Linked DNA regions of Astyanax mexicanus. The protein of the gene in region 1 purifies or fractionates together with the protein of each later gene. This does not show direct contact. Links are inferred from orthologs where the notes say so. Each region holds a gene or a part of one and is shown in the gene's direction. Other genes may lie near its edges.

Region 1 (7,662 bases):
ATGGAGTCACCAGTCTTGGATGAGCACTCCTTCAGACATTTCATTCTGTAAAACAAACTCTGATCAAAAACATGATACAATAATAAGGTCATTCCAAAGTGCAACTTGTTGGCTTTCAGGAACACTCAAAGAAATGAAGAAAAACATTATGGAAGTCAGTGAATGTTACTTTTATTGACCAACCACAGGGAAAAAAATATGGAATCACTCAATTCTGAGGAAAAAAGTATGGAATCATGAAAAACAGATAAACAAAAGATGATTCAAAATACATCACCAGTATTTAGTTGCACCACCTTTGGCTTTTATAACGGCTTTCAGTCTCTGAGGCATGGACTTGATGAGTGACAAACAGTATTCTGCATCAATTTGGTGCCAACTCTCTTTGATAGCAGTTGCCAGATCAGCTTTGCAGGTCGGAGCCTTCTTGTGGACCATTTTTTTCAATTTCCACCACAGGTTTTCAATTGGGTTGAGATCTGGACTATTTGCAGGCCATGACATCGACTGAATGTGTCTTTCTCCAAGGAATGCCTTCACTGTTTTTGCCCTATGGCACGATGCATTGTCATCTTGGAAAATTATTTCATTATCTCCAAACATCTGTTCAATTGAAGGGATGAGAAAACTGTCCAAAATGTCAATGTAAACTTGTGCATTGATAGAAGAATTAACCACAGTCATCTCCCCAGTGCCTTTGCCTGACATGCAGCCCCATATCATCAAGGACTGTGGAAATTTGGTTGTTTTCTTCAGGCAGGCCTCTTCATAAATCTCACTGGAACGGCACCAAACAAAAGTTCCAGCATCATCACCTTGTCCAATGCAGATTCTTGACTCATCACTGAAGATAACTTTCATCCAGTCATCCACAGTCCATGATTGCCTCTCCTTAGCCCACTGCAGTCTTGTTCTTTTATGTTTAGGTGTCAATGATGGTTTTCTTTTAGCTTTCCTGTATTGAAATCCCATTTCCTTTAGGCGATTTCTTACGGTTCGGTCACATACATTGGCTCCAGCTTCTTCCCATTTATGCTTCATCTGTTTAGTTGTACTTTTTCGGTTTTCAAGACAAATGGCCTTAAGTTGCTTGTCTTGACGCTTTGATGTCTTTCTCGGTCTACCAGTACGCTTGGCTTTAACAACCATTCCATGCTGTTTGTATTTGGTCCATATCTTGGATACAGCTGACTGTGAACAGCCCACATCTTTAGCAACCATGCGTGAAGAGTTGCCTTCTTCAAGAAGTTTCACAATCCTCTCTTTTGTTTCAAGAGACATTTCTCTTGTTGGAGCCATGGTTCTTGCCACTCTAATTCGTCCAGCAGCCCTCCAAGGTGTCATGACTGCAGGTGTTTTTAACTGCAGACTAACGAGCAGATCTAATCTGAGGCAGGTGTCCATTTAGGGAAAGGAAATTGACTGGGTGTGTCCTTATTTTCTACCTTCAATTTGAGTGATTCCATACTTTTTTCCTCAGAATTGAGTGATTCCATATTTTTTTCCCTGTGGTTGGTCAATAAAAGTAACATTCACTGACTTCCACAATGTTTTTTCTTCATTTCTTTGAGTGTTCCTGAAAGCCAACAAGTTGCACTTTGGAATGACCTTATTATTGTATCATGTTTTTGATCAGAGTTTGTTTTACAGAATGAAATGTCTGAAGGAGTGCTCATCCAAGACTGGTGATTCCATACTTTTTGCCAGGGGTTGTATGCCAATGTGGGGCCTGTATGGGGTACCAAAAAATCTATCTGTGTGTTGCACAATTGAGAACCAAAAAAATTGTTTACATGTTCTACAAATATGTGTCAGTGATGTGCATTATCAGGGTCAGTGATGGGACCTAGAGAGGCCTAGAAGGGACCCATGTGAGATTTCATGTAAAATACTGATAGAGAACCAAAACAGAGTGAAAAGCAGAGTGAAAAAGTGAAACATGTGTGTAAGAGAAACAGCATAAGAGAGAGAAACAGAGTAAAAAGATGAAACAAAGAATGATGTTCAGTGCCCTCATGATTGAAAACGCATCACCATAGTGCCCTCTAGAGTGGGAAAAAGAGTCAAAGTGCCCTATTGGCCTTGTTGGATAGGCATTTTGGGCAGACACAGTGTGCTCTTTCGCAACAAATGATGAATATTAATATGTGCCCATCAAAGGGTGCCTGCCCTTTAGCCCTACCAATGGAAAACAGTACTGTTATAAACAATTTTTTGTTTGCCTCTGCCCTTTAAATTGTGAGTCTGCTACTGGGAGAGAAAAAGTGGGAGTGTGAAACAAAACACAGAAGTGAGAGTGAGAAAAAAAAGTAAGGGAATAGCAAGAGCTAAGTCAAACATTAAGTCAAACAGTGAAAAAACTTAGAAAAGAAACAAGGCAAGCAAACAAAGAGCAAGAGAGAGAGAGAGAGCTAGAGAGAGGGAGAGAAAGACTGTTATAGAACAAGAGAATTTCTGTACTAAATCCTGTCTGTGTGCATTTGCAGTTCTCAACCAATAGACTGAGACTCAAACTCAAACTAATAAGAATGATTATAAGTTTGTTTATGCAATCAGTGCTTGAATAAAATATTGTCACCCTTCTCAATAATTTTTTTTTTGCAAAATTGATTTTTTATCTGGCCTTTTTCTAATGGACCTAAATCATCTCCTCATGATGCTGGTCAGCTGTGGTAAAATTGCTTTTTAGAATAATAGTGAATGTCAAGAGTGTGATTTAAGCTCATTTATATGCTCTATTCACCTACATCTCCTACCAAAACGAGGCTGTGGGGGACGGAAGTAGCGTTGGACCGCTGGGTACTAGCAATGCCGCCTCATTGCTGCGTTCCCAAATTCTTCAAAAAGAAAGAAATCCTATGAAAGGTCAAACTTTCCACAGTTTCCCCAAAGATACCGAACTTCACGGTGAAGGATTCACAAAATCAGTAGAGATTATCATTTCAATTTAAGATGTATGTTACTGAGCTAGCTAGCTAGCTAAGCCTAGCCATATTAATGTTACCCAGTCAGCCAATTTAGCCAGATGAATGTTAGCAGAGAGACAGCAACTAGCTAAACCCGGTTCTCCGGCTATTGTTTGATTACCCCTGAACTGGTTATTTTCTCGGTTTAATTCCAAAACTAGTTATTTTCATGTTTGATTTAATATTACATATTAAAGTGGACACAAATGTAAGTTTAAAACACTTTCCAAAATTGTGTTTCTTTAAGACACTGGTTGGCATGTGAAAGTTGAAGAAGGATGCTGTGCCCATATGTTATTTTTCAGGACAGATTGTTCAGTGAAGCCTGTAAGCAGGACTGTAGTTGTATAAACTACAAAGTAGTTTTCTAGTCACTAATTTAGTAACTAGATAGCAAGCTAGCTAACACGCAAGTTTTTAATAAAACAAACAAAGGCAATTACCTTGCTACGGTACCTTCCGCAATAATAGTTGTAGCCTTTTAGTAAAATAGCCAGGAAAATGCACTTATTTTCTGCCAATTTTTTTTACTCTTTTCACCGTTAATTCAGGGAGGTATGCGAGGTTAGTTGTCCACACATGCGGTGCCATTTAGACTGGTGGACATTCTGTCGGCTCCCTTGCTGCCTTTCTGGTTTAGAAACGGTTTCGTTTCAACATGGGCGCGGAGTGAAGGTGCATTAAGCATAAGTCAAAATAAAATGTGACGATTTTATTAGCTTTCCAAGATGGAGCTATCTTTACTGAACACATTTCCACGATTCAGGGCGCATCCCCAATCGACAGTTTATTTACAAGATTTTCACTATAATATAAAATTGACTTACTATTAAGAAGGGTGGTATAACATTATTTGGATGGTCTATTATAAATGCCTCATAAATACTAAAGTTTAAAGTGAAAGTAAATGATTCTCTGTTGAATGTAAACCTACTAACCCTAACCTTAACTCTAGTCTTAACATTTTAGGATTATGTCTAGGGTTAGATTTAAAGTTTAGATTACGGTTAGGGGTCAGGGTTTTGAATTGAGTCATAGTAGAGGTTAGGGTTTGGGTTGGTGTTGGGTTAGTTTCTGCAAAGAATAATTTACACTCATCTAAAAATTCAGTTACATTTATTAGATTGAGTTGAATGTTAGTTGAGTATCTATGAGGCACCGATAATGTACCATCCAAATAAAATCTATATAACCATAAAGGCTACAGGTTATATATTGCATAGTTTTATTTATTTATTTATTTTTTGGTCACCATTTTTGTCACAAAATAGCAAAGTCAATCAAGTTAGCTAGAACTGCTCTTCAATTTGTGTCTGTTAAAATGCTAAAATAGCAGTTTTCTGTCTTTTCAATTAATATTTTTAATAAATGTTGTTTGAGGATGATTCTGTTTGGTTCTACTTCTGAACTTTATGATAATCTACCCTTTTAAACCAAAGTACTCATTTTTAAATAGCCAAAACTACTGTAATTTGTTTTTGGTGTTTGCTGAAAACCCCAATTACTTTGTCGATTATTAAAATAAACTGTAAATAAACTGTAATTCATGGTTATGGCCACTAAGACAACAGAATAAGCCAATTTGTGGTGTGAAACACACTGGCAGACTAATAGGCTATTTTAATCCAGTCCCTGTGGACCACTACCTGCTAAGTGTGCAGTCCTACACCTCAGTGTTGCTAGGTGTTCACTCTTGTGTCTCACACATCCTCCAGCACCTTTTCTCAACATTGGACCAAACAAATAAAATCACCTACCTGCTGCTCAGTACCTCCAAATCCGCTCTGATGCTGTTAAATCCGCTATTAGCGAAGCTCGGTTGTGGAAGCAGCTGCCAGGCTGTTGATGAAGAAGAAAGGCAGAATATTGATCTAAGCTGCCCTTTGGATCTGTAAACATGCTGGATTTTGAGGCTGCGCTTCTGTTTTTCAGAGGCTGTAAGGTTTGCTAACATGTCAGGACACAGTTCGCCCCAAAGGATTACAGATTTTGAAGACTGAATAGGTCTAGGTAATTTCATGACTCCCGGAGTGGACTGAGGATATTTTTAATGGAGATGAGTTGATGAGTCTGGAGTCATGGAGCTCAGGAATGGCGCTCAGGAGCTTGAACCAGTCTACACTGTGGACACAGCAAGTGTACGCTTTCCAAATCAGGTATTTACCTTTATTAGCTAACCTACAGGTTATCAGGAGCAATATGTTATTATTCATTTTTAGATTTTAATTTAAAATGAAGAGTGTTTATACAATTATTAGTGTTATTATACGATTGTAGTGTTAGCTTATATCACTACACCAGCAGAGATAGCTAACAAGATAGCTAGTGTTAGTTAACCTAGCTAGCTGGCTGGCTAAATGTAGCTAAGCTAAAATAGTTTTAGCTAAGTTATGAGATTTCTCTTAAATATTTAAGTGAAAATAAACCAAACCCACTTCCCCCCAGTTTCTAAAGTGTAACATTAAAACAATACAGCATGTCATATTTTATCATGGTTAGCATATTAGCTTGTTGCTAGAGAATTAACTAGCTAGCTTAGCTAGTTTGTACCAAACATCTCACCTAGCTAGCTTGAGGCTAAAGGCTACCAAGGGCTAGCGAAATTTCTTGTGTTTTTTTGTTAACATCATCAGAGCACTAAAAAGCAATGTTTTCTTATGGTTGCACAATAATTGAGTATTGCTATATATGATGGTAGAAAACTTTTTTATATATTTATTACAATATCTGTCACTGACTATTATTCATTACAAAGTATGTAACATAAATTAACCTAAAATTATTCAGATTATTATCAGTTTGTGGTTTTATATAATTCATGTTGCAAAATATCATAATTATTATCATTATCAAACCACAAACCTAAATATATTTTATTGAGATTGAAGTGAAAGTCCAACAAAAATGTAAAAAAATTAATTCAAATAAAAATTTGAGACATGCAAAAGTATATAGCTCTCCATATCAATACTTAGTAGAGCCACCTTTCACTGCAACTACAGCTGCACGTCTTTTGCGCGTCTAGAGACTGAGATTTTTACCCATTCTTTTTTGCAAAATAGCTCAAGCTCGGCCAGGTTGGATGGAGAGTCTGTGAACAGCAATTTTCATGTTTTGTTTAACAATAGGGATGATGTGATCAAAGCACCCCATAAAAAAGTTAAAATTTAGTTTTATCTGACAACTAATGTTCTCTATCAAACCACTGAGGCCTTTACAGAACAGGTGTATTTATACTGAGACTGTGAACTGTTCTGAATGCAATTGATTGCATTTGATTTTATTTTGGGGGTTCTGAATACTTTTGCACATCACACTTGTCAAATTTTTATTTAATTACATTTTTTGAAAACCAGTGTATCATTTTTGTTCTACTTCATAGTTTTGCAGTAGGCTGCTACTTTGCGTTGGTATTAGAGGCCGACCGATCGATCGGCCAGCCGATTTAATCGGCCGATTTTTGTTATTTTTTTATCAATCGGCATCAGCCGATTTTCTTATTTGGCCGCGCCGATTTTAATCCGGCACATCTGCGGGCAGCTACTTGGAACGCAGCGCAAGGTTTCAAGAGTGAGCAAGACTTTCAACGGGTAAGGCATCCATTTTTACAATCCAGTGTCCCAAAGTCTATATTTTCTCTCATGATTAGTAATCTGTGATGTTGCTTCATTTACTGAAAAAGAATAGAATTTCAACTGCATCGGTGTTGTAGCATTTCTCTCCAAACGAAACTATGCTTAGCGTTGATGGAATGCGCCCTGACTATGCAAGGCAAGCCCTATCTATAAGCTCTAGTATAAAATAACTGACGTCTCTTCTTCAGAAACGAAAATCTAAGTAAATAAAATCAAATTAACACTTGATATTTTCAGTATTTAAATTATTTTTAGACGAAATGAAAAAGGGCAGGACTAAAACTGTTTAAGGATATTCGCAGCATCAGCTGCGCTGAAATAATAATTACTGGTTAGTCAGGATTATTAGAGGACTGTACTTCTCCTTATATATAAATAAGCTTTATTGTAAACGAATTAATAAAACAAATAGTTTCTAAAATAATGGAGTTAAAATAAAACATCTCTTTTTCCTTCACTACAAACAGACATTAAATCATGCCGCCTCCTGCTGTTCTGCTGTAAAACTCACCCGTTTAAAGCGGTTTGCGCTGTTAGATATTAAATGAAACGATGAGCAGAATTTTCTGTTTTGTCGGGTTCTACTTTAGAACCCCCTCCAGACTTTTCTGATAAAAGCTCATTTTATCCTGAACCTATAAAGTCCGCGCTCTTCAGCTTTCTCAACTCATTTTCCGCTCACGCACCGAACCTCCAGTACAGCTGATGAGACGCGTTTCTCTGGCTAAGGAGCTCATTTGAAGAAGAAAAAAAAAAACAGATAAAGCTATATTTAAATTACAGCACCTGTCTGTTTTTGCATTATTTATAATTTTATTCTTAATTTAAACGTCACCCATTTTTGTAAAATAATAGCTGCAGCCCTAATGTGAACATTTTATAACATTGTCCTCCCATGTCCATTCGTTTTCAACTGCATGGAGTTGAAGAAGAAATGAGCTTTGCCGTTTTGGAGTAACTATCTAAAGTTGTCACATTATGGAAGTCTTCTTGCACTCTGTTAAACATATTAAAATGAATAATTAATAGACTAACAGACTGCAACAAGTCATACATTTGTT
Region 2 (8,201 bases), on another chromosome or scaffold:
ATGTACAGTTGTGCCAGTGTTCTTTATATGATATTCTTTATATTATATCCTTGATATGCTTACTGTTGAAACGGATCGTAGAAATTTATAAAAATATATATATTTTTAATAATATTAATAATATTATTACATACCACCTTCGCCCTATCTGACCTATTAATAATCTATCATACTGAAATCAGCCACAGGGAATGAAAGGATTTAGCTAGACTGGGATAAACATTGAGGCTACCTGCTGTCCAGTAGTGTTAGAGAGCACATGGTCAGGCTGCGTGGCTCCAGAAGAAGTTGTTAGGTCCTCGTGGTCTGGGAGGCCGGGACGAGTGCAATATTGGTGGGAGAATGGACAACAGTGCACCGCACCCCGTGCCTGCCAGGCCCCGGGACACACAGAGCACATGGGGCACATGAGGCAGTAACTGGGCACATGGGCAGATAGATGTGCAGTGTCCATCTGGAAGAAAAGAATCAGAACAATTAGAGTGGATAAAAAAAATATGTATTTATTTACTTACACTTAAAAAGTATCAAAACATTATTAAAGTGTTTTATGTACAGAATAATTTATCATTATTATTTTTATTTAACTGTGATGGATTAAGGCCTGCTTTTTAAGATTTTTTTTGGAGGGAACGCATGGTGGGCGGGGCATGGAAGTGGCCACGCCCCAGATAAAAAAAAAAAACATTTAAATATATAATTCTAAATCATTTTTAAATGTAGATGTGGAATAAAGACGTACATATAATCTTACTATAAAATAGACAAATTCGTTAGAATAAATAATAAAAATAAACAATATAATTCTATTAAAATTAGCTAGCGTTAGCGCGTACAGCACGTATTTCGGCGTGCCAACGTGCAGCGCAGTGTTTCCCGGACAACAGGTTGCCTAGAAACGTCGTAGCTGGCGAAGAGCCCGACCAAGCATTAGCATGGAAAAGTTAACTAGCCAACTTTCCCCCAAACAGGCTAAGCTAACGGCTTCTATACCTAACCAGCGCTCAGTTATACACCCACAACAACGCCGAATGTCTCAGACTCGAGCTAAAGCTAAAGAAAAACACAAAACAACGCTGAGACTCACCGACCAAAACACGCCAACACACGGAGAGGGAGAGGAACTGGCCACGGAGCTCCTGCTGCTGCTGCTGACCACCGCGCTCCTCCCTCAACTTCACAACTCAAACTGCTCCACACCAAACACAACGACACACGGCTAATAACCGCGTGTTTCTCAGCGCACAGCCGCTTCCACCTCCGCCATAGTCCGCTTGCACGCTTTTGGCACGCCTGCAACAACGAGGTTTCGGTTCTTGCCTTTCTTTCCCCCAAATCTCCCCGCACAATAGGAGTCCCGTCCCGCAGAGCCCCGCCCCCATCAGCGCAGTCAACAAAGAGTGCTCAGTGGAGCAGAGAGAGAGGAAGAGAGAGAGAGAGAGAGAGAAAGAGAGAGAAGTTGGGAGATAGAGAGGGGGACAGAAGTAGGGAGAGAGAGATGAAAAGAGAGAGGGTGAGGGAGAGAAAGGGAGGGTAGGGAGAGATGAAGAGAGAGAGGGTGAGGGAGACAGAAATAGGGAGAGAGGACAAGGGAGGGAGAGGGTGAGATAGGGAGGGAGAGGGTGAGGTAGGGAGGGAGAGGGTGAGGTAGGGAGGGAGAGGGTGAGGTAGGGAGGGAGAGAGAGAGAGCTGTAGAAGAGGAGGGGTGAACGGGAAAAAATAGCTATAATGTAGTGTACCAACAAAATAATTCATGAAGTGTGTCAAATAGTAGCACATCAGTGCTGAGTTCACATGGTTTTACTAATTGATGGATGGATGGATGGATGGATAGATGGAGTAGTGGGATCAAGTGAGTGAGTGGGTGGGGTGTATGTATGGATGGAGAGATAGATGGATGGTCAAATATGTCTGATTTAACACGGAGCAACAACAAATATGTCATTTGTTAATACCTATACTGATTATCTGGTTAAAGTAAACAGTGTAGTTCTTAGTTCAGTTGAAATCAGACTGCGGTTCAGTTTCAGTCTTGGTGTGATTCATTTGGACACCTTAATCTGACTCAAAGGTATACTAAAACAACTGCACCAAGACCACTGAGAGAAGATGGGGTCCATCAGATCTCAAACAAACTCAGGAGCAGTTTATACAATACCAGTCAAAAGTTTGGACACACCCCTTCTAATTAAATGATTTTCTTTCTTTATTTTCTACATTGCATTTCATATATACATATATAAAGTATTGAAGATAATTAAACTCTGAAGGAATACAATATGGTAGTATGTAGTAAACATAACATGGAATGGTCCTCTGACGTAAAGACGTTCTCAGAGATGCTGTGTACTTGTTGATTTTTTTTCCCTTCACACTGCATTCCAACTTCATCTAGATTTTGAACTAGGTTTAGGTTTAGGTGATTGTAGAGGCCATAAACCTTTTTTTTGTCTATCACATAATTCCATATGTGTTTCTTCATAGTTTTGATGTCTTTAGTAATAAACTACAGTGTAGAAAATAGAAAATTGATTAAAAAAAAACATTAAATGATAAGGTGTGTCCAAACGTGACTTGTATTATGGATGTATGGATGTATGGATGATATGCATGTTAATGTATTTTTGGATTATCAATGAAACTGAGCTAAAATAATATACAATATATTGACAAACCTCCATTTATAAAAAAAAAACAACACTAAAAAAGATTTTACTGTTATTTACAAATTTATATATTTAAAATAACTGATTTTTTTTGTTAATAACTGTTAAAATTCCATGTGTCCTGGATTGCCCATTTCATGTCTGTTTATATCTTGACCCAAATGAGTCCCACTCTCTTCCACCTGTGTACCACAGCAGCCTTAGGAACAAACTACGGAGGTTAGGGTTGGGTGCTGGTGTAGGTTTCTTAGGTTATGTTTAGGAGTAGGTTATGGATGTTAAATTTAGATTTAAATGGAAATCACAGAAATTAGGATTAATGTAGCTGTAAATTAAAGAGCTGTAGTTTGGTGTTAGATGTAGGTTACTGAGGTTTTAGTTTCAGGTTAGTGTTATAAGCATTTTTTATGAGCAGTTGTAGGGTAAAGGTTCAGTTGGAGTTATGCTATAGTTATATAGATTAGGCTAAGTTAGATTTAAATAAGGATAGGGTCGATTTAGCATTACTTTGTTACAACAATACAACAATAATAGGTGGTTCTCAGTAAAACAGACATTTGTGTAGGTGGAGGGCATTTGAGCTGTGTATGTGATGTAATTATCACTAACAGTAAGAGGCACTTTAAATCACTTTTTGCTAGATCTGATATTAGAATGTTCATGATAATGCAGTAAACACACTACAGGGCTGGATTTGTTCTGGTAAATAACTTTGGAGAGTCTGTGAATATTAAACAGATTTTCATGGATGTATGAATGTTAACTGTACTGCACAATACGTTCAGTTCAAAACACAAAGGTCATTATCAGAATACAGGGTCTCAAAACCTAAAAACAATGATTTAACTACTTACAATTATATACATATATTTATATTAAGGCTTTAGACTACACAAAAATATTTTTTCCACAGCTTAATCTCTTTTTATATTTATTTATATTTTAATTCTTGGCCTGGTTCTGTTTTAAAGATATGTTTTAATTTTCTAAAACAATTTTAATTACCATGATTTTACTACAATAAAATAAACAGCTAAAGCTTTATCTCAGCAAAGAGGTATAGAGACAATGTGATATAATATTAATATTATCAGTTGCTAAACATTATTCATGCATTCAGTCCCTTAAAAAAGAAACATTAAATTTATGAAAAACAATAGAACATTCCACTGGTTATTTTAATTACTTAATATTGCATATTAATATAATATTAATGATCTCAAAATAATGACTTAATATTGCAAAAGAAAGACCTGTTATCACAAATAAATGTTAGTATTTCAAAATAATGATTTTACATCTCAAGACATAATATCTGAAATTAATAACAATATCTCAGAATAAAGTCTTGCAAGATAACTATATAGCATTTAAAAATATTGCAAAAGAAAGACCTGGTATCACAAATGAATATTAGTATTTCAAAATAAAGATGATCATGAAAATAGCAACTTAGTATCTCAAAATAGTTAGATCACAAATAGCAGCTTTTATATCTGAAAATAATTAGATTGCATCTCAAAATAACAACTTAGTATCTCAAAATAATGACGTAATATTGCAAAAGAAAGACGTGCTATCACAAATGAATGTTAGATATACCATCAAAATAGCAACTTAGTATCTCAAAATAGCTAGATCACATCTCAAAATAACGACTCTCAAAGTAATGAGATAACATCTCAAAATGAATTAGTATTTCAAAATAAAGATAAAGCATCTCAAAATAGCAACTTAATATCTCAAAACAGATCACATCTCAAAATAACGACTTTGTATCTCAAAGTAATGAGATAAAATAAAGATATACTGTAGCATCTCAAAATAGCAACTAAGTATCTCCAAATAATTTGATTGCATCTTAAAATAATGACTTTGTATCTCAAAATAATGATTTAGTATCTCAAAATAATGAGATAGTATCTCAAAAGAGAAAAAAACTAATGGTGCTGGATTTGTTTTAATTAGTGGAAATGGGTTTCTATAGGTAAACACACACTTCTCACACTAAACTGAGACTTTTCTCAAGTGTAGGAAAACAGACACACGTGCTGCACAGACTGAGAATGGTAGCCTCGCTGCTGCTGCTGCGCGTGGAGCAGTCAGGTGAGTCTGAATACCTGTTTTATTCACCGAATCACTGCTTTAAGATAATACAGGTCATTAACAAACACTCAGCCCCCCTGTGAGTCGGGAGGGGGTCTGCAACAGCTCGAGCTGCTGCTGCTGCTCTGGTTAAAATAGCCCTCGCGAGCCCTGCTCTGCTCTGCTAGCTGTTCCTCTGCGCGCAGCTGTCGCGCGCGTGGCAGGTGCGCACTGCGCGTGAGGAAACCTCACACATACACACATACTTACAAACACTCATTCCCACACACACACTAACTCACACAGATACACACACACACTAGCACTGCTCTACTTACTCTCTCTCTCACACACACACACACACACACACACACATATACACACTCAGTTTGCATGCGTACAGGTGAAGAGCAGAACCAGTGCGTTGGTGGATATGAAGGGTTCCAAACTGGTGTAACGGAGCGAACAGTTCACCATTACCAGAGGTAAGTTCTGAACTGCTGATACTGGTGTAGTCAGTCTTCCATACTGGCGCGTGACTGCTGGAAACTGGGGCTTGTTTGGACCAGGTGCACTCTTAAAAATAAAAGTTCGACAAATGTCTATTTAGATTTTATATAGAAGACGCATAATTGCTTATATAAAGAAAAAAACATGTTTAAAATATGTTACAGACATTTGGATGTCTAAAAAACCTGTCTATCATAAATATTCCACACCATAAATGGCAGAAATGAGACTTTTAATATAGTTATTTAAAATTTGTAGGTGTAGTCATAAAAATAAAAATAAAAATAAAAATAAAAATCTATATTTTAAATATATACACAGCTCAGGCATAACATTTTGACCTCTTCCTTGTTTCTACACCTATAATTAATTTGTTCAACTCTTTGTAGTTCTATAAGAGTGTAAATTGTAGTTCTTATATTTCTACTTTCTACTTAATTGTCCTCCTTTTCATCCAGATCTTCAAATGGTCAGGACCACACAGAACCACCACAGACCAGCTATTTTTTGGGTGGTGGATCATTCTCAGCACTGACCTGGTAAAAGTGGGTTGTTCTGACATGAGTGGATCAGATACAGCAGTGCTGCTAAAGTTTTTAAACACCTCAGTGTCACTTCTGGACTGGGATAAGAATGAAGAACCTTTAGTAAAGAACATTTAAATCAATTAAAGATTCTTTAGAAATTTAAATAGAACAACAATGTCTGTAACAGTGATGTGTAAGTGTAAAGAACCTGTGTGTTTGGAAATAACTTTTACATCAAGCAAAAACCATTCATATTAGTTAACATTGGTAAAACATATCCTCTACATGAAGAGAAGGGTCTTTAGACCTTTAAAATGTTCCTTACACACACACACAGATCTACTACAGGTGTTTAATGGAGATGACAAATATCTCTGTGTCTGTTAGGACAGTGTGTATTTCTGTGCACTAATCTAAGATCAGACCTCATCTGCCAATGCTGTGATGTTGTGTGTTGTTTATAAAATTCAGCCTGAGCCAAGAACAGTATTTTTTATTGTATGAAGTTTGTATAAAAAGTGGTGTATAAAACAGGCCCAAAACCCTTAACATACCTTAAATGCGATGATAAAAAAATAGTAGACATACTCCCCTCATTTGAGATGACAGTGAGCTAGCTGTGGGCCCTAGTGGAACTGTGTTGATTTCTAATGTTAAGAAACCATTTATTTTCATCACATTATAATTTTAGCTTCAGCTGGATATCCATTATGGCATGCAAATATATACAGCAGGGGAGCTTCCAGATGTGCGTGTATGTGTGTTTTAACTTTGTAGGACAACCAGAGACAAAGAGGACCATACTATATCAGCACCAGCAAATTTAACTTAATTTTGGGATGTGCTGTTTACATAAAAAAGGTTTTATTTGTACATTTTAAAACAATTTATTTTTGTTTGATTTTAAAGATTGGGTGTAGGCATAAACAACAATATATACATTTCATATGGTGCCTGTAATAAACACAATATGTCAATTTTTTTGTGGGCATCCCTTCTAATGAATGCATTCTGCTATTTTAAGTTCCTCCCACTGTTGACACAGGTGGGCAAATGCTTACACATAACTTGCCTAGTAGATTGTAGAGTACCACAAATAGAATGGGACTCTCTGGAGCAGATGAACATAAACTTAATATTGGGTCTAGAGCAATTGTTATTGTTTGCAAAGAGCAATTGGGGCTACAACCTCAATTGTAGTCCTGCACAGACTCTGCCCTGCAAATTATTGTGGTTTCTCTGCTTTAACATGCCCACCGCCATTCTGAAAGCTTTTGTTCATTAACTTATTAGTTAGTTCAGGAGTGTTGGAAGAAGGGAAAGCAATAAAAGTCCAGGGCAGGGTGCCTGTGTTGAGAAACCCTGGGCTAATGGGGTATAAATCCCACTGACATTGAGATGTGGAACTGTGGATCTGTGTTCTCTGGAATGATGGAGCTCCATCCAATACTTTTGGGATGAGTTAGGGAGTTGTGGATGAGGAAGGGTGGTGATTATCCAACATCCTGGTCTACCTAACACTTTTTTGCCTAATGCAATCAAATTCGTACAGCAGTACTCTAGTACAATTGAGTAAAAAACCTTCTTAGACAATAGAGACAGTTACTCAAACAAAAGCAGTATAAACTATTGTATACGCTCACAATGAATATGCAGGGGGTTCAATACTTGTGTCAATAAACTATGTATCGTCACTGACACAAAACACAGGAGAAGAAAAACTTAAAAACAAAACTTACTTATCATAAGTAATTCTGGAGCTTTTCTATTTGTCCATTCATTGTGCAATTTGAAAACAATGTAAAGAACATCTGCTAGATTCACATTATGTTAAAAAATGTAAATGTGTGTGTTTCTGCTATATATGCTACATATGTTAAAATTTAGTTAGTTCTAATGGTTTCCGGAAGGGGTTAATTACAGTAATGTGTGAGTGCATGTGTGTGTGTGTGTGTGTACACCTGTGAATCAGACACTGCTGTGACTAGTAGGGGGAGAAACCCAGTGTTTGTCTGAGAGCATCTATTGTTTACTTTGTTGTTTCAACATCTCAGTGTCGTCTCTGTGTTCTGAAGCTAGCGGTGCTCCTCCCACAATGCTTAGAGTATCTACAGCTATTTTGTGAAAGTACATGCTCCAAAATACACAGCTAAAACATTCTCCACACACACACATCCTAACAAAGTGATGAAAGTGGACAAATGCGAGGTGCACAGGCCATTCACAAGCATTAAGACCCTCCATAGCAGAGAATGTCAGAAATAGCTGGGCCATCCTGCATGTGCAGAGACCCAGTTGAAATTAGATTGCTGGGGGAAGGAGATAGTCCATGTGGGGCAGAATGCTGGAAGCTCTACTGTATTTCCAACACCTGCCTTACCAGCCCTGCATTTCATCCCCAGCTATTTCAGAC

Evidence for each region.
Region 2: the proteins of transmembrane protease serine 6 (region 1) and hjv purify together in Homo sapiens (co-immunoprecipitation; 3 studies listed by IntAct). This does not show direct contact. The link is inferred for Astyanax mexicanus from reciprocal best matches to the Homo sapiens genes TMPRSS6 and HJV.

The regions. Positions count from the first base shown.
Region 1 is NC_064412.1:32,159,472-32,167,133, forward strand, and holds the start of transmembrane protease serine 6, read left to right. Parts: upstream 1-4,634; 5' UTR 4,635-5,044; coding exon 5,045-5,122; intron 5,123-7,662. UniProt on the Homo sapiens protein: Membrane-bound serine protease. Through the cleavage of cell surface hemojuvelin (HJV), a regulator of the expression of the iron absorption-regulating hormone hepicidin/HAMP, plays a role in iron homeostasis.
Region 2 is NC_064413.1:41,789,930-41,798,130, forward strand, and holds the start of hjv (hemojuvelin), read left to right. Parts: upstream 1-4,921; 5' UTR 4,922-5,144; coding exon 5,145-5,236; intron 5,237-8,201. UniProt on the Homo sapiens protein: Acts as a bone morphogenetic protein (BMP) coreceptor. Through enhancement of BMP signaling regulates hepcidin (HAMP) expression and regulates iron homeostasis.